2 linked regions of the Struthio camelus genome follow. The protein of the gene in region 1 interacts with the protein of each later gene in a pairwise test. Links are inferred from orthologs where the notes say so. Each region holds a gene or a part of one and is shown in the gene's direction. Other genes may lie near its edges.

Region 1 (11,620 bases):
AACAGTTGCTTATTTTTGCATGGTTTACATTATGGAGTCTGTACGTCTCCTGCGACACAGCTAATTGTCTGTTGGCACCAGTTGCCCTCTCTCTTTGTGGATGCAGCACTATTTTTGACTGCTGCCTTGCAAAGAAAACACTGAAGAGAAAGCTGATTTCCAAACTGAATAGAACCAGGTCTTTCTTTCATTGATTTGTATCCTAAGGAAATAGTTAAAGATGGGGTGGGGAGAAGATCCTATCTTGAATGTTAAGCAACTTCCCTAATTATGATTTATGAAGCTGTAGAAAAAGTTTCCTGTGAAAGCTGTGGAAGATGTGCAATTTTTAATGATAAAGCTACCTTAATTAATCTTTTCTCCTTTTATTTATAGAAATATGCCTGAAATTATTATTATTTTTTAATTTGTAATTTCAAAGCAATTTAATCCTGCCTTGGTGTATCACAGGTACAGAAATAATTTGGGGCTCTGACAGGTAATAAGGTTATATGCAACTCATACATCCAGCACTTAGTGTATGTATAATGTTGTTAGAGATGCGTGTTGTGCCACGAGTCTTTGAGCCACCGAAGTCCACTACTCTTCCATCTACTGGTCAGATATTAATTTATGATGTAGCTGAAATTAAATGGACAGCTTACTACTGCGAACAAAGCGGCAGATGTGTCCAGCCTCTCAATAGCAACCACGAGCTGCATCATTTTGCTGCAGCATTTCCACTGAGTGATCAATATGCTTCTTAGTAGCTACCAGGGATTTAATCATCGGATCTTCATTGTAAAATATTTCAACACCACAGATAAAAATTATAATGTAAGAAAGTCCTAGCTCTAAGGTAGCTAAGGTTGAACATCACTTTGACTTCAGTCGAAGCACTCATCATTTATCTGGGCATGGGCAGAGCAGTAGTTAGGATTACGGGAGGTCCTATCTGCAGAATAAACTGCAAATTTCTTCATTTTTGAACAAGGCCATTCACAGCTTTCGGCTGTGTGCACGTAGGTTTGTTAATATAACACCTTCAAATGATTAATCTTACCTTTCCGTTGTAAACAAGCACCAGGTGCGCTAAAATGCAGACACAAGGAACGCTGTCATAAAGTTTGTTGTACTTTGTGCACTCAGTCATGTTACTAGTTTAAATCTGGTGTCCTACGAACAAAAGGTTCTGAGAACAAAGTCTTCTTTAAAATATATATATATATAGTTAGTGAGTAATAACGTATAAACATGCCTTGCAGTTTGCTGATGAAATAACACGCTTCAGATGTGCCAGTGCAATTCAGGACAGTATACTTTTCCCCTTCCATGACTTAATAACATACCTCTTTTTAATACAATTATGTTTTTTTTCAAAGAAAATCACATATTGCATACATTAAAAGAAAGGCATTTTGGAAGAAGAAGCTGAAAAGCAGAGAGAATAAAGGACCCACCTGTAATAAAGGTACTGGCCAATTTAAAGTTTTAGCGTGTTTCAAATATGTTTGTTTAGACTTGTACAAACAGGTGCGGATATTTTAATCCACTTCAAATGACTTCTATTAAATGAAGTTTAAACCAGTTCATAAGTGAATTAATCTAAGTGACCATTATTCAGGTTTAAATCAAATTTCTTTCTCCGTATTTCCCACAGTTTAAGCAAGCTAGGTTCAGTTCAGGTACTGAGTTCCGCGAAACTTTGATGTTGCGTAAAGCCAGAGCCTTTTTTTTTTTTTTTAACCTTATACTGCCTCGCCTGTATGTGAGAGCTTCCAGTCTCTGTACTCCTGCTGGTAGATTGAGATTTTACTGTGTTTAGATTGAGCATAACAGCATATACACCTGCACTTTGGAGCCTCAGCACCAAGGGCGTTGGATTACAATGGCAGTTGTGAATGTGTGAACAAGTCAGAAGACAAGTGTCCTGTGATAATAGGATTAGTATTAGTAGATTGAACTCCTTTATCTCTCCAGCCAGTAAAACATCCATTGTTTTACTGCTGGCTGACATTTTGCATTTAAATCAGATTTTTCTCCAGACTTTGAAAAATTGTTATGTGAGTATAAATAAGATTAAGCTGATGTTGCAGTTCTTTATTATCTGAGCCATTAAGATTCAACACCTGAGCCAGTCCCTTTGTAAGTAATTGTGAATAGAAAAGGTATTGTAAGAAAGTCTGAGACATTTGAAGAAGAATGCCTGAATAGATTTGGTGGCAGTTTATGACTGAGAAAAATGATACAGACTTTGTGGTAGAAAAACTATTGTTCACATCTGTTAACTTGGCTTTTATCTACATTAGTTTGCAGTTATAGCACATAGAACATAGAGGGTTTTTTTTTTCCCTACAGAGATAGAAATAGATTTTTTCATGCTGAAGACTGTTGTACCTGTTATTCTATGCTATTCTGCAGAAAGTGCTGAGCTTGAAGATTGAACCTGTAAGGTACTGAACAGTAGTGTTGTTTGCTGCTTTAAACCTATACTGGCAGGACACAAAGTGAATTTTCTACCGGAATGGAATTGGCTTTCAGTTCTTGTCATGCTTTTGTCTTCCAGCGTGACATCCCCACTGTAAATGGCTTTGTCTGTGGACTCAGCTTTGTATCGCTGGCAGCGGCTGGGAGCTCACCATCCCTCCCAGGCTCTCTCAGAATCAACACCACTACTCTCTTCTGTCAGAGACAAACCTAAATTCAACTTAAACAAATGGAGGATTGTGTTCCCTAACAATGGGAGGCAGCAGAAAGACCGGGACCAAGCTGCTAGATTTTATCCTGGAAACAGGATACAGACCACAAAATACACCTGGCTCACTTTTTTGCCCAAAAATCTCTTTGAACAGTTTCACAGGTAAAAGCTCATTGAAGGACATGTGATATTTGAGAATTCTCTCTGAAGAACAATATTTGAAGGTGCTGGGGAAGGGCTGCTTTTGTTCTTATTATATTACTAAAATGTAGTTGATTGTTTATCTATACCCAGCTATTAGCTGATTCACACTGAAATGGAGGGTTAAAGTGAATAAATGCTGTGCGCTAGCCTATGCTGGGTCTAACGTGCTATTTTTGATCCTGAGGCCAGCTTCCTTGAGTGCTGGAGCGGTCCTCTATGTAAAAATTTCAAATAACTTATTTAAAAACTCCTCTTTTTCTGTGTTGAATAAACCTCTAATTTTTAAGAACATGAGACATTTTCATTGGATGTGTTTGAGACATCTATTAAATTCTGGAGAAGTTTTCAGAGTCTTATACATAACTGTAGTACATTTTTTAGGGAATTTAATTGAGTTTATCACCATCTTGTAAACAGTATACATATATATCTATACCGTATTGTATATCAAAAATGGCTAGTGCTAGGTCAGGTTTCTTTCCAAAGCTTGATGTGGCGTGAGGTACCCCAGCATAAGGAGTCATGTCAATAAGATGCCTGGGGAAATATCATTATGATAAAGATAAATGAAAGCTGTCTATCCATCTCTAGCTTTGAAATTTCTGTTCGGTATATTAGATTTATACCTCTGTAATTTCATCTTCCATTTTCCATATACTTGCTAAACTCATGAAGGCCTTCATTGATTCCTGCTGGGGACAGTTCTACAATTCTGAACATGTGTTTTTTTATATCCATTCTGTTACACTCGTTTGGTTTTTGAGGATTTTGCTTGATTTTGTGCTTATTTTAAAGTCTGAGGCAGTGGGACATCATTAAAGAAGTTTTAAGTCCTGATAAAAGCATTTGTAATACATCAAAAACTTAAGGTAGCTATAGTATAATAGTAAAGTAACTGATTAATCCTTTCTAGGAGAGGAAGAGGAGGTACAGAGGTGACATGAAATGAGGAATGTTCAGCAAGAAAAAGACATGTTTTAATTTCTGACTATGTTTAATTTCTTTCATGCCCTTTCAGGCTGGCTAATCTTTATTTCCTCTTTCTGGTGGTTCTAAACTGGTTCCCACAAGTGGAAGTCTTCCACAGAGAAATTACTGTGCTGCCTTTGATTGTGGTGCTGCTTGCCATCACAGTGAAGGATGCTATTGAAGACTACAGAAAATACCAATTTGATAAGACTATAAACTCCTCTAAAACAAAGGTATATGACAAGTAAGTAGACTAAACTGATTATTTTTTTCTTGCATTTGATATGGTGGAAACTGCTCATCTGATTTCGCAATGATTCCCTCACTGTCCCTTTGGATCGCAGTAAGTTTGGAAAAGCTCTTATAAAGTGTTTTTTTTTCTGCCTATAAAGCGTTTCATTTATGTCACTTACAGTCATCCTGATATCACTCAGGTTTTGTCTCAGGCTACAGCAGTGTGTACTGATGTTCAAGTTCTCATTCCAAGTTTCTAAACCAGTTTGCCAGCACGCACAACCTGGAGGAAAAGTGGCGCAGAGCACCTGAAACGTAGCCAAGTCTGGAATGGACCACTGGGACTCTTTAAAATCGTGAAGCAATGTTTTTCAAAAGTTTTCCACTAAAACTATCAATACAAAAATTAATAATGAACTATATTTAAGGCAAAGCATAATCAGGAACTGAAAAAATTCAGTAGGACTTCCAGTAAGTTCAAGTGATCAATACATCACAGTTTCATTTTGGAGACAGTACAACACCCATGTGCTGTAAGCTGCAATGTTTGCTCGGTAGTGACTCAGAAGGAAGAAATATTTCTACGTGTAATCCTTATTGCAACATTTAGATTTCGTCAGAGTTTGTTGTTGAAGTGCTAACTTGACTTAACACTACTTAGCTTGTCACTGTGTAACATAATAGGAATCTTGCTTTGGAAGGAGTTAAAATATTTATATCTGTTCTTTTATCTCGCTCCTCTTTAAGCCCAGGTCTGTAGAGAAGAGATTACTGTTTCGTATGCATTCATGTAGTTCTCTTGGAAATTAACTGTCATATATGCCGTATATCTACATGCAGAGGCATGAGATCCAATGAGGAAAAAGAAACGAGGGGTAGGAACAAATTACTGGGTGGGAGAGAGACGCTTTGGGTGTCCAGAGGCTAGAGGACTACCGGAGGAGAAGGACCTGGCTGAGGGGCAATCTAGGTTAACTGCCCTTGAATTGCCTACTTGTGCTTATACTACACACTGCTACCGACTCATAGGTTTGCTTGGTTTGTGTGAGGATTTTTTTGGTTGGTTTGTTTGTTGTTTTGAATAGTCTGTGAAATGAGTGTGACAATAAATAGTAGATAGAGGAAAGAAGTGCTGTCTCTGAGGAGGTTTATAGCAGACTGCTGTTGACTTCGGAGGCGCAGTGCTCTGCCCGTTACCTTTGAACTTCCTGTTAGCTCCCATGGAGAGCAAGTGATTCAGAAAAGCTTCGAGGGAACCGTGTAAACTGCGCACGTTCTCAGGTTTGTCCCGGTTCTGTGCTAAAGCAGAGACGCTTCACCTGAGCACATACGCAAGCCAGGGAAATGCTGGGGATGGGGCCTCCAGGCGTATCCTAACAGGAATAACAACCCTTTCAGGATGCTTTCGTGTTGTGACGTGCTCCCCGGCAGGCTGTAGGACCGGCTGAGGTGAGCCGGGATGCTACTGTCTTCAGGCAGGTGGAGGCTGTGATCGAGTGAGACGGCTGTGAACTCCAGACAGCTTGACTCTTCTCCTCCCTGCTTTGAAATTTATCTGGATTAGTGAACTATTTTCCCTTCATTGTTATCAAATTTGAAGCAACGTTCTGGCAGGAGAACAAGATGTCACGGAAAAGCGTTCGAGGCTGCTTCTCTTTGAAGATATGGACAAAACTTTTTTTCAAAAACACATGCTGCCAGTGTGCTTCTTCTGACACTGAAATTCAAAATGAAGAGATGGAGAGGAGAGGAAAAGTAAAGAAAAGAAAGAGGAAAAATGAAAATAAACGAGTGATCATCTCCAATTTGCCCTTTGGAAGAAAGAAGTGGAAGGAAAATCCAAACAGACACTATGACTGTAATGAAATTAAGACTACAAAATACACCCTCTTGACTTTCCTCCCTAAAAATATCTCTGAACAGCTTCACCGCTTCGCCAATATTTATTTTGTGGCCATCGCTCTCCTGAATTTTGTGCCAGTGGTTAATGCTTTCCAACCAGAAGTTTCCGTGATCCCAATTTGTGTTATAATGGCTATTACAGCCATTAAAGATGCTTGGGAGGACTTTCGGCGGTACAAATTGGACAAAGAAATCAATAATATGGGCTGTTACATTTACAGCAGGTGAGTTTTGTACAGCTTTCATTAAGAAAAAAGTTGACTTGGGATCTTTCATCAGTATTGACATGTTTTGTTTAAAAACATTTAATATATTGTCTTGCTGGAAAATCAGAATGATTTGATAAAACTGTGAAAAATCATGATGGCTAGGTAAGCCTGGTATTTGTTCTGATACAGGGAAAGATATTTCTGTTTTGCTTAAACCTCATGTTCAAAATGGGAGGGAAAGTTCAAGTTACATAGTATTGGAGTGGCTATCTTTCTTAGATGTGGAGGATAGTGGAAGCCAGGTGCTTACATAACTACTAAGCACCTGGGTTTTTAAGGAAATTTCAAGAGGGCTTAATTCTATCAATATAAGGTAGCACAGAACAAGATCAGGAATGGGAGCTATTTGTATCAATTATAGCCCTTTGCACTTTTCTGAATTTTATACTTTAAACTGTAAGCGAGGCTTCAATTGTATGCAAAATAAAACTGTGTAAAAATACAGTTTAAAACCATAAGATAGTAATATATGCCTCTGATCTTCTCTGAATGAATCAACTAGGAGTGTCTGTGCTGAAGTCTTCAAAATATTTCATATCTTCTTGCTTTTAGGACTTTAAGGAGTTTCAAAATTATATTTTATTAGTTTGACAACTACCCTCTCAGTAGGAAGTGGCTTTTTCCTTTTAAAATATCACATCTGAGAGCTAGAAGAGCAAAACTTACCATTCCCTGAAAGTTGTTTGTCATTCCTCGTATTAATCAATAGTGCTTTATATAGTGTGAGTTCTCAGACATAAAATCTTGCAAAACTCTGGCTTTTGTCATATAGTGCTGTTTGTTTCTTTTGTGCATGTTCATTGGGTTTTATTTTTATATCTTGCTGGTTAAACAGGGAAATTGAATTTACTTGTTTGGGGGCTACTTAAAAAGTAGTCATTTATAAGTTTCTAAATATTATTCATCTAAGAGTACTTTTATGTCAATAAATCTAGCTCTTTGGGTCAATTACAAAAATACTTCTTTTGCCTATGTTTGAGGCTAGAGTCTAGCTGGATTTTTTTAATCTTCTCAGTGTTACATTAATCTATGAGGCAATGAGACCTACTTATTTTTAAGGCCAATCTCAAAGGGAATAGTAGGTGATGCAGTAGATACTAGTGAATGGAACTACATGGGGAATCCCCTTTATTTCCCCTTTAGATAGAATTACCATGGTAATTTATATATAAAAGACATTTACTATGAGAAGGTGAGAAGTGGTGAAATACAATAAAACTTATTTTTGTATATGGGAAAAATATTCCTCATGGAATTGCAATGTACGTGTAGATCCACATTAGAGTCATAGCTGTGAATGCTTTCTTATGCTGAAACTTGACATGGGACCATATTAAAACTGGTCATTCCATCCCATAAATAGGGCTTTGATAATCTATGAATAAATCTTGTCTAGAATGTTGTCTTTCACCAAAGTTTTATGGCCTAAAAAGGCGATGTAAGGGAAAGGGAAATGGAGAGGGCTTCAGACTACAGTGTTCATCCTGTCTGGAAAAATGGTGGGTAATTACAACTGCCATCAAATCTGTAGTTACGGCTTATTATATCATGAATAATTTTAATCAGGCTTCTATAGAGCTTTTGGAAGCTGGTATTTCTTGTTCTTCTTGCTAGCTACAAAGTCATGGAAGAGTGTGGTATCTTCTAATTTTCTTCCTTATGAATCATCTGCTGTAGGTAATTTTGTAACATAGGTGAAAGGCTTTTTCTAGACACTGTGAGTCTTACTAATTTTGTGGCGGCAGAGAATTCTTTTTCATGGAGCAACTGATCTTCCACCCTAAGACTGACAATTAATTGGATTTAAAGGGTTAATTTTGAAGAGTATATTTTCTTTATTTCAGATTTCAATAACAGAATCTCTGATTCTGTGTTCTAAGAGAAACACAAAGGCAGAGTTCTCTTTTCCAAACGCTGAATATTTTCCAAAACTTTCTTGAAGACTGGAGGAAGTGCAGTAGCTTGCCCTTCTTGCTCAGAGTAAGGAACACTGAGTTTAAATTGGCTGTCCTATAAACACATTTCTTCTAATTTTGTTTTCACATAGATCAGCTGGATTTATAATCTAGACTGGTAGCTAAATAGTTAATTGAAAAAAGGGGAGACGATTAATAAAGTGTCTTGAGGGGATATAATGACTTAGACCTGGGGTTTGATTGTGGACGTTTTAGTTTCTAAATTAAAGGGTTTTAGAATCATAGTAATTGTTTATAAACTGTTATGCTTTCACAACAAGTCACACAACAGAAAAAAAAAGACTGAAAATCCAAATATAGATGGGACAGACCTATGTTCAATTGCCTCTTTTCTCCCGATATTCTTTAAAATATACGTTATCTGCTTCTAAATTTTTCAAGCAGTAGGGCTTCCACTGTCTACCAAATGTGATTGTCAAAGCATCTCCTATGATAGTCTGCTTTCATTAGCGCTCCTTAACTGCGTACAAATTCCTCAAGTTAGTTGATTTCATACAAGCCTAATTTATTAGTTTTCATCCATAATATTTATTTATAGTCTTTGAATAGTTGTGGTTGTTATCACATTCATTTTGATACACCTAGCCACCATTGACCTTTTAGTCAGGTTCTGTTATCACCCTCTTCATCTCTCTTACAAGTCCATCCCCCCAAACCTACTTTGGTTACTTTTCTCTGAACTCTCTCCAGTCTGTCCTTAACTTACTAACAACAGCTGCCAGCACTGAATGTAGTATACAAGCCAACTGTGGAACTGTAAGTGAATGCCAGCCCAACACTGACTAAAAGCTATTATTTAATTAACCTGAAGTTCTATGGTGATTGAGAAAATACTCAGTGTACAATTAACCTATCGCTTGGATCTGGCAACCTCCCTCAAAAATATTCCAGGATTAAGCTTTAATGATCTACAAACACTCCATAGCATCCAGGCAGGGTTTTACATTGATTTATTAGTTACATTGATTTCACACCTCTGGAAATTTAACTTAAGTATTTGAGTATTTAATTTAAGTATTTGAGCTGTTCACGCTGCTTAATTTTAAGCACCTAAACTCAGATATCGGAGAAAGTCATTCAGAAGAGAAGTCTATTTTATGTGCTTTGAACCATCCTATGGAGTTGCATGTTAACTAGTAAGTCTACAGGCCTCCTACGTGAGGTGGACTGACTACGCTCTCAGTGAAATTTCTCTGTGATGCTTTTAGATTCTGGGGTTTTCAAGTAGGTCCTACAAGCATTGATATACTCTTCCTCCAAATGATCCACTGACAACATCAATGTCACAAAAAGTCAGGATGGCCTTTATTGTAACCCTTTTCTCTGCTTAGTATAAGGTTTGAGTTCATCTCCTGCTAAAAAAACAAAAAATGACAAAAAAAAACAACAAAAAAAGAGAGGACAGATAGTCTCAAGCCTCTGGCCAGCTTGAAGTCCCATCGCATGCCCTTTGGCAAAATTGCAATTGATGTTGCTATGTCCAAGAAAATCTTCTACATCTAAATAGTGCCTTCTCTGAGTGGTGTATGAGCTTGTATGACTGAGTATCCTGGTTTCATACCCCAGCTCCGTGTAATATCTTGCATGGATGCATATGCATATTCTTATGATAACCACAAAGCATGAACTTTGATCAGCTGGAGCATGAATTACTTCATATAAAAGTAGTGATGTAAGTAAGCTTTACAATGACTGCAGGATAATAATCTGTACGCTTTAGGTACACTGGAGTTTTTGTACCTAACATAACAACAGATACCTCAGTAAACAATAGGTATTACTGAAGGCAGAAACAGTGCCTTCTATTTGTGCTAACTGGAGGCGTTCTTCAAACTTCTAGCGAGTTCAGAAATGGCCTCAACCAAGAGTACACTAAGGTTTGGTGTATGTTGCCATGCAACTGCTTGAAACTAGTAATGTCAAAGTTGTGAAGAAATAATTAAAACATGAATTCATCTAATGGTGAGCATGCTGACTGTGTGCTGAAGAAATACTCAACATGCTAAACTGATAAATGCAAAAGACAAATGTCAGGTTCTCAACACTCAGGTCCGGGGTGCAGCACCGGAAAGTCAAAGAGCAGCAAGTTAGCAGTTCTCCTTGTCAGTCAATGTTCCTCACTACAGTGAAGATCCTTGCCCTCTTTAGAAGAAAACCTGCAATGATGTTATTAATGCTACCACCTGTTTGTGTATTGTTTTATCAACACCTTCCTGAAGATCTATTACCTGACAAGGCATTTAAAGCTGCTTCACAGAAGCAGTGTGCAGTGGCTTAGCAAACAGCAGCAGAAGCTAATTGCAAAAGATAAATAAATGAGAAACTAAGTTTCCAACTTAGAGACCTGCAGAATAGTGACAATGTGACACTGAGTGTCATACTAACTGTCTGAAATGGCACATTTAAAATCTAGAGAGAAGCAGGCTCCTACATGTGACCTCAAGATGGTATGTGGTCGTGTAAGGAGGTGACTAGCAAAAAGCTGCTTTAGTCTCTGTGCCTCCCATGGACTTGATGAGTTAGTAGGAGCCTTTGGAAACTAATACTAAGGATTAGCAGTCAGTAAATAACTGAGCTTGGAGTTATCTGTTCATTCCATCTACTGCAAGGCAGAATCCTAGCAACAGCATTTTGCTCTGGGCAGTATTCAAAAGAAAATTCAGATTTTTCCTCAATAATTTGACCCATAACTTACAAAATGAACCTACTAAAGTCTAACCAAATGTATTCTCAAAACGCTCTTGACTTCTACTTGATTTTATTTCTTCATTTGGTCCAGCTCATTATAAAATTGAGGCAGGTGGATTTTTTTAACTTGCATTTTTATCTCTAAAACACATGGACGTAACATATTTCTAAAGTTTTGGTACTTGTTTTAAGTCCATACAAACTTGGAATGATTGAATATAGAATCCTTTTATCACTGAGAAAATAACTTTCATGGTGGGATGCTACAGGCATTTTTAGCACATAAAAAATTAGGATCCTTTGTTAGCATTAAGGAACTTGCAATGCCAAAACAGTGTGATTAAAGATGTATTTTGTTAGACTTTAGAAAAATTTCACTCTCATTGCTATTCTATTGTGTTATTCAAATCCTGAGAGGAAGTTTGCAACTATGGGAAATGGATACAATTGCTTGCTAGTGAGGGCTTGTTACGGGACTGACCTCTGCTAAATAATGTCATTCTTTGATCCTGCTGGGCTCATGTCCACACCAAAAAACAACCTTCCCAGCTACAGAAAGTGATAGTAACATGGTAAACACCAGTAATGAATTAGCATGAACAACACAATATCTTCTACCCTTCAGATATATCTCCTGCTCAGGAATATTATGGGCCAACTTGTGTTGTGCTCTATCTATGGACACGTTTCAGAGTCTGTTC
Region 2 (12,485 bases), on another chromosome or scaffold:
CTAGTAGAGATTTAAAATGTGGTTAATTCTACAACTATTCTCTTTTTCGAAGGAAAAAATCATAAAGTGTTTTCAGACTAAGACAGTGTAGAGGCTAGCTTGGGCTATCGATATTGGTAACTTTCAGCAATTGAAAATCAATGAAAAAATCTGCTTTTCTCTTAAAGAACACAGACTGTTTATAGAGGATTGAAAAGTGTGGGTTAGTCTAATTAGATGTGATAACATAAAAAGTTTAAGCCTATTAAAAGTCTCAGGTGCTTTGATTTCTAGAGAAAAACTTTTTTATAGTCACTGAGAGTGTTATACTTGCCTCATCTTGAAACGAAATTAGACAGAAAGAGGAGATAAAACTACCTGTTTTGTAGAACTACCTGTAAGGTAGAAAACAAACTATAAATAGAAAATTGACATTGTTGTCCTGAATGTTCAGCTTCCTACTGTGAGTTGCTGAGTTTTATCTCTTTCTCTGAACATTAACATTTATTTCTAAGAAGATGACTTTGAATTTAAGGCTTGTTTTTACTTATAAAGGTACATTTGCTCACTAAAATAATCTATTTAGCAGTTGATGCATTTTATTTGCTTTAAAGAGCTGACTGTTTTATACATTAGTGATTTAACGCAGCATAAAGTTTTACTTATTTGGATTTTATTTTAATGAGTATTAGTTATTTAAATCTTTCCTAGAAATAAGTGCACAGTGGGATTGGATAAGTGCCAGAAGAAGAAGATCATTTGAGGGGCTTAATGAAATACAATTAAAAAATAAATGCCACTCGGTAGTCTTTCAGATTAACTACAATTACATTCGTATTTCTACCGCTGAAATCAGACTTCAGTTTCTAAATTAAAATTTTGAAAATTTAACATTTATGCTTAGGTTATCTAATACATGTTTTCTTCTTCCTTACCTTGAAGATTAATAAACGTAACACGCTGAGGTCTTGACTACGTACCATGGCTCTGTAGCAGTCATTGCTAAGTTAATTATTAACTAATAAATGAGCCTGCTGTTACACATATTTAAAAAGGAACATTTTAAGTGCATTTTTTTAAGTATTTTTCTTTTATTTCTATATCCATTTTTCTTATAGCTGCACACAGACCAATGTGAAGTGTAATCACTGCATCGCGCACCACCTCAGTGTAAAATTTTGCGACCATGAAATTTGTTAGTTTTACTTTGTTGACTATAAATGAATTTGCCTTAGCATAAACCTGTGCAGTAACATCCATCCAAGGTCTTAGTTTGCAGTAAAACCAATATTATAAAGTATTTGTGCTGATATCCTTTATTTCTCTAAAGAATAGAAGTAAGATAGACTCTGTGATTGCATCCTCACTGAGGATATAATTACTGAGGATATAATTATTTTGGTAAAGAGAAAAATCATGCTTCTAATTAACCTAGTGGTTCTGCTGCAAAATCTATGGATAGGCCAAACATATGGATGAGCGTATGGACTTGAATACAATTAATTGGAAAGAAATAGCTATAACTGGCCAATAATAATATTGGTCATACTGCCCATTGATCTGTATGGTAGGCTAAATAGTCTTTCCCTCTTTCTGTTTCACATCATACACTGGGTAAGCAGGGATTAGCTTGAACGCTCCCCTGTTGCTTTGTTAATATGGCAGTACTTACCCGAAAACCAGGATTTAGACGTTAGGACTTAGCCACACCTTTTTAAATCTGTTCAGCTCAGAATCTGACAGCATTATAAAAGCAGCAGATTCCACTGGGATGGAAAGAGGAAGAGGAAGTTCTCCATTTCTCCCCTGTTTACGCTTTTCTCAGATTTATCTGGAGCCTTTGTGGCTGGCTAGGACTACATTACCAAGTAATTTGATACAACAGGAGCAGATCCGTACACTGAAGTGCTGAGGCTCTGCATATCTCCATTATAAGTAATTTGAGTTTTCTTCAGATTGGATTTAGTCTGGTCTCTTACGCCAAATGTCTCTCCTGCACGTTGGTTTGAAGTTTTGTGAAGGAAAACTCTCATACAAATCCCTGCTGCGTTCCCTTGACGGAGGGCCTCTCTGCAAGACCCTCTGGGAAGCGCCCCACTCTTCTGCCTCTTTCACACGGAGATGGTACCACATCAGTGTCTCCATTAGCGTCGCTATCACTGCGGCCCACGGCCCTGCACCACTATCTAATGAGGCCATTCCCCAACAGCAACAGAGCCCATGCCTAGTTTAACCGTGCCCTTACAGCTCACAGAACCGAAGTGGAAGAGAGAAGTGGCGCAGAGATTAAAAAGAAGTAGGCAGACTCTCAGTATCTCTCTGTCTCATCTGCCTTCCCTCCTGACCCAAGACAAGCCTCTTTGTGCTTGTAAAGGCTGTGCAAGCATCAGCTGTGGGTCTGCTCAGAGGCAGTAAGGCTTGACAAGAACTCGTGAGGCTGGTGGCAGATCCATGTCATTAGGCCGTACAGGATGGGACAAACCCTTCTCCCTCTCCTTTCCACAGGGAAGTAGGTGCTCTCATTGCCCCCCCTTCCTAGTTAAGCTCTCAGGATGACTCAACCCCCTCACGCTGTGCCCAGTTTTTTGGCTGAAATACTCTATTCAGAGAGTACTAGTGCCCTTCCAGCCTCCTGGTGGGTCTTCAGTTCCCAGTGGCCCATGTTGCCTGCTCCAGAGATTCCCTGAAGCCAAACATTTTCAGTGTCCCAAACTACCCCCCCTCCTGCCTTTTACGTACAAAACCAAGAGGCTCTGCCTGCCTGTCTCTCTTGCAAAGATTGCAAGAGGGACTGCGCCTTTCACTCTCTAAATGGGCTATCAACATGCCATGGCCTCAGGCTCCCTCTTCCACCTCACTACTACCCTACAGAAAGGAAAGCAAGAAACTTTTACAGACAGAGGGCAAAAATCTCAATTGGAGAAACATCTGCAGCTAGGCAGAAGTGCGTGAACAGAAGTGTTCAAACAACAAAACTTGATTCCTAGAGCAGATCAACACGGCCCATAGCTTGTAAAAAGTGTAGTGTAAAATAGCGTGCATGTACATGCATATATATATTAAGGGAGGAACAAGGTGTCCCAGGATGTTTGAAACTGGGGCAAAGGACAAAAACTAGGGAAAAGGGGAGGGAACAACATGACTGAAAACATGAACAGTCAACTGTAGGCAAATAGGGCCCACTGGGGAAAAATATGAATAAAATCTGGCCATCGTGGCCATCTAAATACAGTGGCAGGCACAAGGCTGTGTGCAGAACAGCACAGGGCCAGGCAGCCCCCATAGCCCACTGCTACAGCTTGACTTGGGTGCCTCCACGGGGGCCCTATAGGCTGGGGGCGCAGAGCCAGAGGGGCCTAGAGGACCCTCCTCAGGATCAGGATGAATTTTCCTTCTTCCTCTGGCTCTTTCTGCAGCTGCCCCGCCATCTGCAGCATAACTGGGTGGCTCTGGAAAGAGACCGAAGGCCTCCCACAGTTGCTGTTTCTCCTACCACCCCCCCCAAGGCCTTCTGTTCCCCCTGCCAGTCCGGCCCTGCTTTGTTTTGCAAAGTGACACATCTTTCTTGCTGCTCATGGGGCAGGGAGGCAATTTGTAGCACTGCTGTGTGCAGTGCTCTTGCCTCTCCATCAGCTCGCAACCTGCTGTGTTCAGCAAAGGCAAGGGCCTTGCAGTAGAAGCTAGGAAGGCTGTGTTATCAAGGCATGCTGCATGTGTAGCTTACCCTGCGAGATGTTTTCTAATGTAATTAGTGGATTTCTCATAGCACCGGGAGATTTACTTTTAAAAGCATTAACAGTCCCTTACAATCAGATTGCAGTTCTGAATCCACTGTCTCAGTATCAAAAGAAGCCTAATGCACACTTTCCCCTCCCCTCCACAGGCATATATCGAAAAGCAGTACATTTATCTAGGCTGGAAACTGGGGCATTGGCATAGGGGACTCTTGATGTCCCTGAATGTGTCCTTTTGAGGACTTCTGAGGGGTCCAGTAATGAGGACAGGGCCACAGAGTGCTCTCTTCTCCAGACTCTCCCGTTATGGTTGTCAAAAATTATCCTCGGTAACCTGTGACTTTGGTTACTTTAGGTTAACAAAGTGAAGAGTGGTTGCCATCAGGCAGCTGCCAGAGAAGAGTAGTTGCCACTGTGTGATTTAAGGTTCCTTAACCAAGGCAACAGGAGATAAGGAAAGGCATAAGGAAAGTTGGGGAACAAAAAGTAACTGCTTAAAAAAATACATTACCTGACTCAGACAAAGAACCGAAAAAAATACAAAATGTGATCAAACAGCCTGTGAACATCTGGAAACAAGGAGGAGCTGAGTCTACCTCTGAAGTGTACTGTCTCCAGGTTCCCAGTTCTAGGATGTCTGGCCCAAAAACTGGTGAGATCTTATTAGTGGAGATGATGTATTGTATCCATGCTAGCATGGCTTGTCTTTGTATCTTTGCTGCTGATCGCTCAGTTGGTTCTACTCAGATTCATCCCTTTGGCAGCCCTGGGACCTATGACATGGACAACAAAACAAACATTGGGTCAGAGACGTGTTTGGCAATTCAAGACCTCTTCAAGGTCTCTGTAAAACCTGCATGCCTGCCATGCCATCCTTGAAGTTCGAGGGCTGGCTCTTCAGGAACACGTTTCTTCTTCATGAATTTCACGTAGCCTTCCTTGCCAGTCCTCTTGTACCAGGCAGCAGTCATGATCTTACCAACTGCCTGATACTGTTACTGGGTCATCCTGCTGCCAGTGAAATTTCTTGCCATCTTACAGCACAGGTTTACCAGCAGTGTTGTTTCCTTGGTATCTTACTTGGCACCTGGGATTTCCTGGGAGGCTGAAGGAGTGAAAGTGATGAACTGAAAGATGATAATAGAAAATGCAAGATAATGAGGAAAAGGGATTAGGGGATTAGGTAGGGGGAATAACAGAACAGAAGGCAAGGCCCACTAGAAGATAACAGCAAGGGTAAATTATATGTAGCTGTAACACAGATGCCACAAGGAATATGATTTCCTTTTTTCCTAACAGAATTCTAAACAATTATTTAGGAATCAAATTTATTCGCAAATGCTAGATATTTTTAAAAAGTGTCCACATTTCCTACACAGTCTTCGAAGAGAGGGAAGTGCTTTTGGGTCTCCGGGGAGAAGTTGCATATGCTGTTAGGAGCTAAGGAGCTGTTAGGTAGCCAACTGCTCCCTCCAGTGGTCTTCGGAGATACTATCACTCTCCAGACAACTAAAATGCAGGCATCTATTTTAGGAAGAGAGTTCCCCGGTGCGGGTAAGCAGTCTTAGACAGACAGGATTACATGCTTATAAAATTATTTAAATAGTTTCAGTCAGAATGCTTACTGAAAGTATACACATACGTAAATATTCCTTGGGTTTTGGCTACATTGTCCTACACAGTCTTTACGAAACCAACTTTTAACATAAAAGCACCAATAGAGTGAGAGAGAGGGACTCCGAGTGATGCCCAGAGAGGTATTCTGAGCTACAGACATGTGACCCCACAACACTTTCTGTTAAGGTGACTACTTAGAAAGGAAAGCTGAGCAGAAGCACGATCTGCTCCTTATGAGGGTAAAAAACCCCTCAGTTCGGACAGAAACGGTGCTCTCTGCGCTCAGGGCCAGGACCCTGGCTCACGCACGCACCACCACCCAACCACGATGCGGTTCACCACACCTTACAGTTCAATTTCTGAAGAGAAAGCGCCAAGGCAAAGCAACTCCCATAAAGGGACTGCTGGTGCGAACAGCTTTATTGAGGTAAGATCTTGTAACTTTGCTGAGAGTTGAGAGACGGTCCGTAAGCCTCCACTACTGTAAGAATGAGGCGGTTGCTCTTTATGCGAGTCAGAAACTGAAGTTACTCTCTCAGGCGCCATCCAGACTTGGTGCAGGATTATACTGCCCCTTCCCAGCACCGCCCTTGGGACGGATGGGGACGAGGCGGGGACGAGGCGGCCGGCGGGGTGACAACGCCACCACCCGCCACTCCACCGCTCGGAGACGGCGCCCGCCGCCGCCGGCCCGCGCATGCGCTCTGCGCCGGCCACCGCCCCCGACGCGCGGAACGAGAAGAAACGCGCAGGCGCAAGCCGCCCTCCGCAGGGCCGCGCTTTCTGCTCTTGCGCATGCGCACCTGGGAGCGGCCCTCCCTACCCCCGCCCCCGGTGAGGGTGGGGGCGGGGCCAGTGCGGTGCGTCATCAGCTGCGCGCCTCGCTCTGCTGGTCAGCCGCGGCCGAGAGCGCAGGCGCGGCGGCGGGTCACGTGGGGGCGGCGGCGGGGTGCCGTGCGGCGCGGGGTGTTGGCGTCGCCGGCGGGGCCGGTGGCAGCGCGCGGCCCTCGGTGACGGGGCGGGCGGCGGCGGCGGCGCCATGGCGGTGAACTACAGCGCCAAGGAGGAGGCGGACGGGCACCCCTCGGGCGGCATCGGGGTGGCGGGCGGCGGCGGCGCCGTGGGCGGCGGCAGCGGCGGCGGCGGCGGCGGGGCGGTGAAGACCCGCAAGCCGGATAACACGGCGTTCAAGCAGCAGCGCCTGCCGGCCTGGCAGCCCATCCTGACGGCGGGCACGGTGCTGCCGGCCTTCTTCATCATCGGCCTCATCTTCATCCCCATCGGCATCGGCATCTTCGTCACCTCCAACAACATCCGCGAGTACGAGGTGCGCGGGGCGGGGGTGCGCGGCCTGGCCTCGGCCCCTCCGCCGCGGGGGCCCTGCCGAGCCCCGCGGCTCCTCGGGCCGGCCGGGGCAGGGGCCTCGGCCGGGCAGGGGCCCGCCGGCCCTGGGGAAAAAGGACTTGGGGTGCCGCCGCCAGGCAGGCAGGCGGGAACCGGGCAGCATTAAAGGTGTTAGGGAATTTGTAAGTAGCTGGTTTGTTGAGCGCCAGGCAGGAAAAGACCACAGTAGCTTTCGCATCGGGAAGCGGAGATGGCTTGTGTGGTTTCTATGATGAACAAATACCTCACCCTGTCTGTTTCAGTTTGGTTTAACGTTTATGCTCTTTCACGAGCTACCATTAATTGCCCCGGCTAAACGTTGAAGTTAAAAGCATGTCCTCTGGATGGACTGCAGTTTTCCTGCCAATGTTAAGTGAACTTCTGGGAAAATTAATGCCAGTATGTAGTTAGCACACAGCTTAATGCTGATCTTTTTCTCAGTAGGGAAAACAAGTGTTCATCGTTTGTGGGATAACTTATGATAATGGGCAATATCTGATGTTTCAAGGTAGTTATGGTTTCAAGACAGAACTTTGTGGTGAATGCATTGCTATAATTTTTGTGTGATAACAGCTCATCATTTTAGATGCTCTCCAAGAGCCAGTGTGTCGCAAGTAGACTTAACAGCAAAGATCCAAGAGCATGAGAGCTTCGAGTGTCTTTTTCTACATATACTTATAAAAAGTGGAAGTAATTTATCCCTGAAACTTAGCCACACTGCTGTCCTGAGCTGCTGCTCACCGTTTGTCAGAACTGAACCTTATATCAACATTAGAGCCGTTTTATAGCAGGATCACTTTATGTTCTAAGGAAACTTTCCCTTTGGGCTAGAAAACATATCTTAGGCACACGTGTGCTCAGATTGACAGCTCTGATTAGTTCTAGTAAGCTAAGGGGACCAGGACTGATGAGGGAGGGAGCAGGAGGGAGGTGTAGTTGATTTGATCCATAAAATAAATATTCTCCAGCACGTCAAACAATCAAATTATTTAAGTAACTTGTCCTTTTCATATATGTAGTGTTCAAAATAGTGGCTTAACTGCTGATAATCAGTGGCAATGAAGCCCGATTAACTAAAGAAATTGTGAGGTAGACAGTGAATAGTAGTATCTTTTTGTATATATTGCACAACATGAACAATGTTAACATAAAACCAGAAAAGAAAAATGACCATTAAATTGTTTAGAACTAAAACTCCACAGTCAAGAAGAATAAAAGCTGAAGTTAAAAATCACAGCTGAAGTGCCCTTTACAGTGTCCTGATGTTGTATGGAAGCTTATTTAAAAAAAAAAAAAATGCTGCTTGTGTCAAGGTTTGAGGGTATGCATAATACTTTAAAATTGACACAGGTGCTTCAGAGAATATTGCCAAGTTGTCATGGATACTTAGACTTTTTTAATGCCACTTTGTGGTCATATTTAAGATAAATGTCCTTTTGAAAATAAATGATTATATTTATTTTAGAAGAATAGTAAATACACTCACTAACACTGATTTGCTGACAACTGCATTCAGAATAGCCATATTTTTGTAGTAAAAGAGCATAAACTCTCAGCTAGTAATGATTTTAAGGTAAATAAAATTGGGTAAATGTATGCATATATACATATATATTTTACAATATCTGAATCAGTGGAACTCTTTCCTGTGGGTTGATCTATAAGGATAGAATACTCAGCAGGGTTTTATGTGAATCCAAAAATGTAAGCCACTCCCTTATCTTATATTTCTGTTGTGTGCATATTCAGAGATCGTATATACTATTGCTACTTAGCAGCTCAGTCCTGTGCTCCTGCTGTCAGGAGCCACAAACTACACATTTCCACCTAGTGTGCGGTATAAAAAGCCATAGGTGAACTAGGAGCATGATTAATACTCCCCTAGGCAGTCAGATTGCATATATAAAGCAGTAGTGGCATCTTACTTTTGGGAGCAAGATGGAAGGCCTGCTACCTTTTCTAATTCCGAGAGATTCATAATTAGAGAGGAATTTATTTATTTTTTTTTTCTGAGTGGGTTCGGACTTATGTTACCCACCTCACTTGACCCTTTCCTCAGTCCGATTATCAGGCTTTTCTGCGGACAAGAGGGACAGAGTTCTTGACTTCTGAGAGAATGACTTCAAGATGTAGCAGTTGGGCTGTGCAGGTGAAAGTGGGGATGCTCATGTTCTGTTCTCTGATCTCGATGCATGTTTCATAAAGTGTTTTAATGCAGAAATTGTATGTGTATAAACGCGCACACACACATGTATATGAGATTATCATTTTAAATGCAGGTAAACTACGGCTTCTTTTCTACTCCAGCTCAGTTTGCGGGGGAGGAGTGGAATTTAGACTGGAAAAGGCTTTAAGGTTGCATTATTAAAATTTAGATGAAGCATTTTACAGTACAACCCTTGGGCTCTAAATAGCAGTGACAGATGCAATTTAAGGTACAGCTACTGCCTGTGTCTCTAGCTTAGATGGCTCCCTCTGTGGTTAGCATGCTAGCTTTTGATAGTAACCTCCAAATGTTATTCACAAGTAGCTGTCTCTCTTGGAGACAATGCATCTAAAAGCTTGATGCAGTGACTAAGCACTTTCAAAAATGTAATCGGAACAGGAAGCAGAGCTAGTTATTTACGTCCACCTCCTCGCCTTCTTACATATGTGTACACACATATACATATAGTTATGTTTGTAAACTTAGTGTATTGGAGTTGAATAGGAGGTGTAATTTATGCCCCCAAAATACGTATCCATGTATAGTTGGAATTATTCTTAGCCGTTTTCTGGAATTAAATATTGTGTCTCTGAGAATTGTGCTCTTCTCATACAGGTGCAAGGATTGAGCAGCAAAATGTAGATGTTCCATTGATTTCCTTTATAAGCACTCATCAGTTCAAAGATGGAGGGTTTCCAACAGCTTTAATATAACAGAATTATAGTTCTTTCATATTGGTTATTCTTTAGCCCTTTCTCATTGTTTCAAAGGGGATGAACAGTGAGGGTAAACACCTCGGGACTGCCATGAAAACAGTTTTCTTGGTTGGAAGATGAGAAAAGGCTGCACGTTTGTTTTTTTTTTTTTCTGTACTGTTAAAGGGTGAAGGAGACTTCCTGCCACCCTGGAAAGGGAAAGATCATATTGGCAGAGCATATTAAAAAACAGTAAGAACTGACCAATATCCAAAAAATCAATCTCTTTCTTGGTAGGAAAGAGATCCTCTTCCTGTGCCTGCCACTCTGAAATCCATAGCAGTAGTTAAAAAGGCAAGTAGACTATGAGACAGTAGTGGGAAAGGAGAACCGAAAAAAAGTAGATTACCGTTGCATATATCTTCAGTGTTGTGTGCGGTTCCGGTGACCCCATCTCAAAAATGATACAGAGTTAGTAATAGCTATAGACAGGGACCACTAGAACACCAGAGTTACGGGATACCTTCTATGCAAGAACTGGCTAAGTAAAATAGGATAAATTTTTGAGGCATGAAGTATATGAAATCACAATTGGTATGGAGACTATGCATACACAATAGTTGCGTTATTTCTGTACTATGATAATACAAACGAACTCAGAAGGAACTCAGCTGCCTGAAAAGTCATGGCAGATAAGTTTCATACACTTAACATCCTTAAATCACCAGTTGTTGAGAAGAACCAACCAAGAAAGGACTCGCTCTCTGGGTTTGTCATATTCCGCCTCTGGCTGTTCCCTGGAGACAGGATGCTGGGTCAGACGGATTTCTGCTGCAGCCCAATAAGTCAGTTCTTAAAGTAATGATTTTGTTATTTGTCAGGAGATGGAAACAGAGATCAGATTTATATTAAGCTATCGCAGAGCTTTAAAGACGTGTAGATTTCTGCTAGCTTAGCTAAAAGGATAAACATACCTGTTGAATGCAACCTGTAAATGTGGATGCAGAAAGAAAGATTTATGTTGGCAGTCACTGTACAGTAAAGCTCTTGAACAGAATTGAAGCTGAGCACATTGCTCAAAAGCATGGTTCTGTTTTGATATACATCACTTTCATGCATCACACGATTTAGTTATTTTCCAAAGGAGATGTTCTAACAGAGACTAAAGAATACTTCAGCAAGAGGGGGAAAAAAAAAGCTATGAATAACTGAGATCTGTAGTTTGTTTAGAATGGTGGTGATCTGTGTTCTGTAGCTAAATAGAGCTCTTGAGGACTACTATGTAGTGGTCTCTCCAGATTCCCATAGGCTCAGTATCTTGTTTGGTGAAGGAAGCAAAGACTACATGATCCGGACCGTCTTTCCCCTCTAATAGCTTCTGAAGCTGAGTTGTGTCAGCTAGGCTTGTTAGAAGGGAATCTCATCTGTCAGAAATCTGGCAGCAGAACAGAAACTAATAAAAAGTGCCTTTGCTGAGGGGAGGGCTGCAGCTCCTTCCTTAATAGATATCAAAGAATCTACAGGAAGAGTTTTGTTTTATTTAACCTTAATACAGATGTTTGGACAGATCATAACTTATTTTAACTCTTGATAACATGTTTGACTGCAGGCATGAATCAGAGCAAACCGTTTGCATTAGGCTTTTACAGAACATTGTAGTTCAAATGATGTTGCTCTTGAGCAGTTTGTTCCCATACCTTGGCATATGTTGCACTGCTCTGAGTTTAAATTCTGAATGAGAATTTTGTATTAAGTTTATAAGTTGTGAATTATAGGCAGATGGAAGCTTTCTCTTCCTACACTTGGAGCTAACCTGATGAGCCCATGTTAATTGTTTCCTGCCCTTCACATACTCAAGCCATATACAAGATAGAGAATGCAATCTAGTGACTACAGTCACCTCAGGGCGTAGAGTGAAGACATGGCTGCTCAGGATATATTACGTCATGGTAGCTTAAGTTTGGTTTCTTTTTTTTTTTTTTTTTTTTTTAAATTAATGAGCTACACTATTAAAGACAAATAATTTTGAATAAGCCAGATTAACACTTATGGTCGTCTTATCCATCCACTGGTATTTGCCATTCTTGGCAAACCCGTACTAATGTCTTCATCTTCCCTCTATTGGAAGAGTTTCAGTGCATTAAGTGCTTTTGAGAAATCTTCTGACTCTGTTCAGATGCCTAAATACACGCAGCAAAGCAAAATCTTATGTGAAACTTTTTTTCTTATTAAATAGCTAGGTAGACTTTTAACCTCTTTGGAAAACCTGTAAAACCTGAAATCTACTTGTTTGGAAGCATCATGTTTTGAGTATCTGTTTTTTCCTTTCTTTTTGCCTGGCAGTAGTGGTCCACCTCAGTGTTAAATTTCTTTGAGGTAGAAGCAGAACTTTTAGACCTGAATAGGGTTTTGAAGTTGAGGTGGAACAAGGTTGCAAAATGAATGCCACACCAACTACTTGACTTATTAATCACAATTTTTTTCCCTACCATTGTAAATGAATGACTTTTTCCTGTTATAGATTGATTACACAGGAACAGAGCCTTCTAGTCCCTGCAACAAATGTTTAAATGTGTCCTGGGATAGCACACCACCTTGTACTTGCACTATTGATTTCACACTGGAACATTCATTTGAGGTATGTTGCCTTGTATACAAAGTAGAATTAGAATGGTTTAATTTGGTTTATTTGGTAATTGATAAAAGTGCTACCTCACTTACGTTTTTTTTTTTCCTATCTGAAAGGACTATTTCTAGTTGTCTTGTTAACTTGGATTTGATAGGCTTTGCTTTTATGTGTTTGTTTTTGTACCCCTTTTCAGCAGGGGGTGAAATGGACGTTAATGTCTCTATCCAGAAATGCATAATATT

The links.
Region 2: the proteins of ATP10B (region 1) and TMEM30A interact in a protein complementation assay, tested with the Homo sapiens proteins (2 studies listed by IntAct, with this or other methods). The link is inferred for Struthio camelus from reciprocal best matches to the Homo sapiens genes ATP10B and TMEM30A.

What each region holds. Positions count from the first base shown.
Region 1 is NC_090954.1:14,522,293-14,533,912, reverse strand, and holds the start of ATP10B (phospholipid-transporting ATPase VB), read left to right. Parts: upstream 1-5,377; 5' UTR 5,378-5,707; coding exon 5,708-6,210; intron 6,211-11,620. UniProt on the Homo sapiens protein: Catalytic component of a P4-ATPase flippase complex, which catalyzes the hydrolysis of ATP coupled to the transport of glucosylceramide (GlcCer) from the outer to the inner leaflet of lysosome membranes.
Region 2 is NC_090944.1:43,286,579-43,299,063, reverse strand, and holds the start of TMEM30A (cell cycle control protein 50A), read left to right. Parts: upstream 1-6,315; 5' UTR 6,316-6,369; coding exon 6,370-6,657; intron 6,658-12,135; coding exon 12,136-12,252; intron 12,253-12,485. UniProt on the Homo sapiens protein: Accessory component of a P4-ATPase flippase complex which catalyzes the hydrolysis of ATP coupled to the transport of aminophospholipids from the outer to the inner leaflet of various membranes and ensures the maintenance of asymmetric distribution of phospholipids.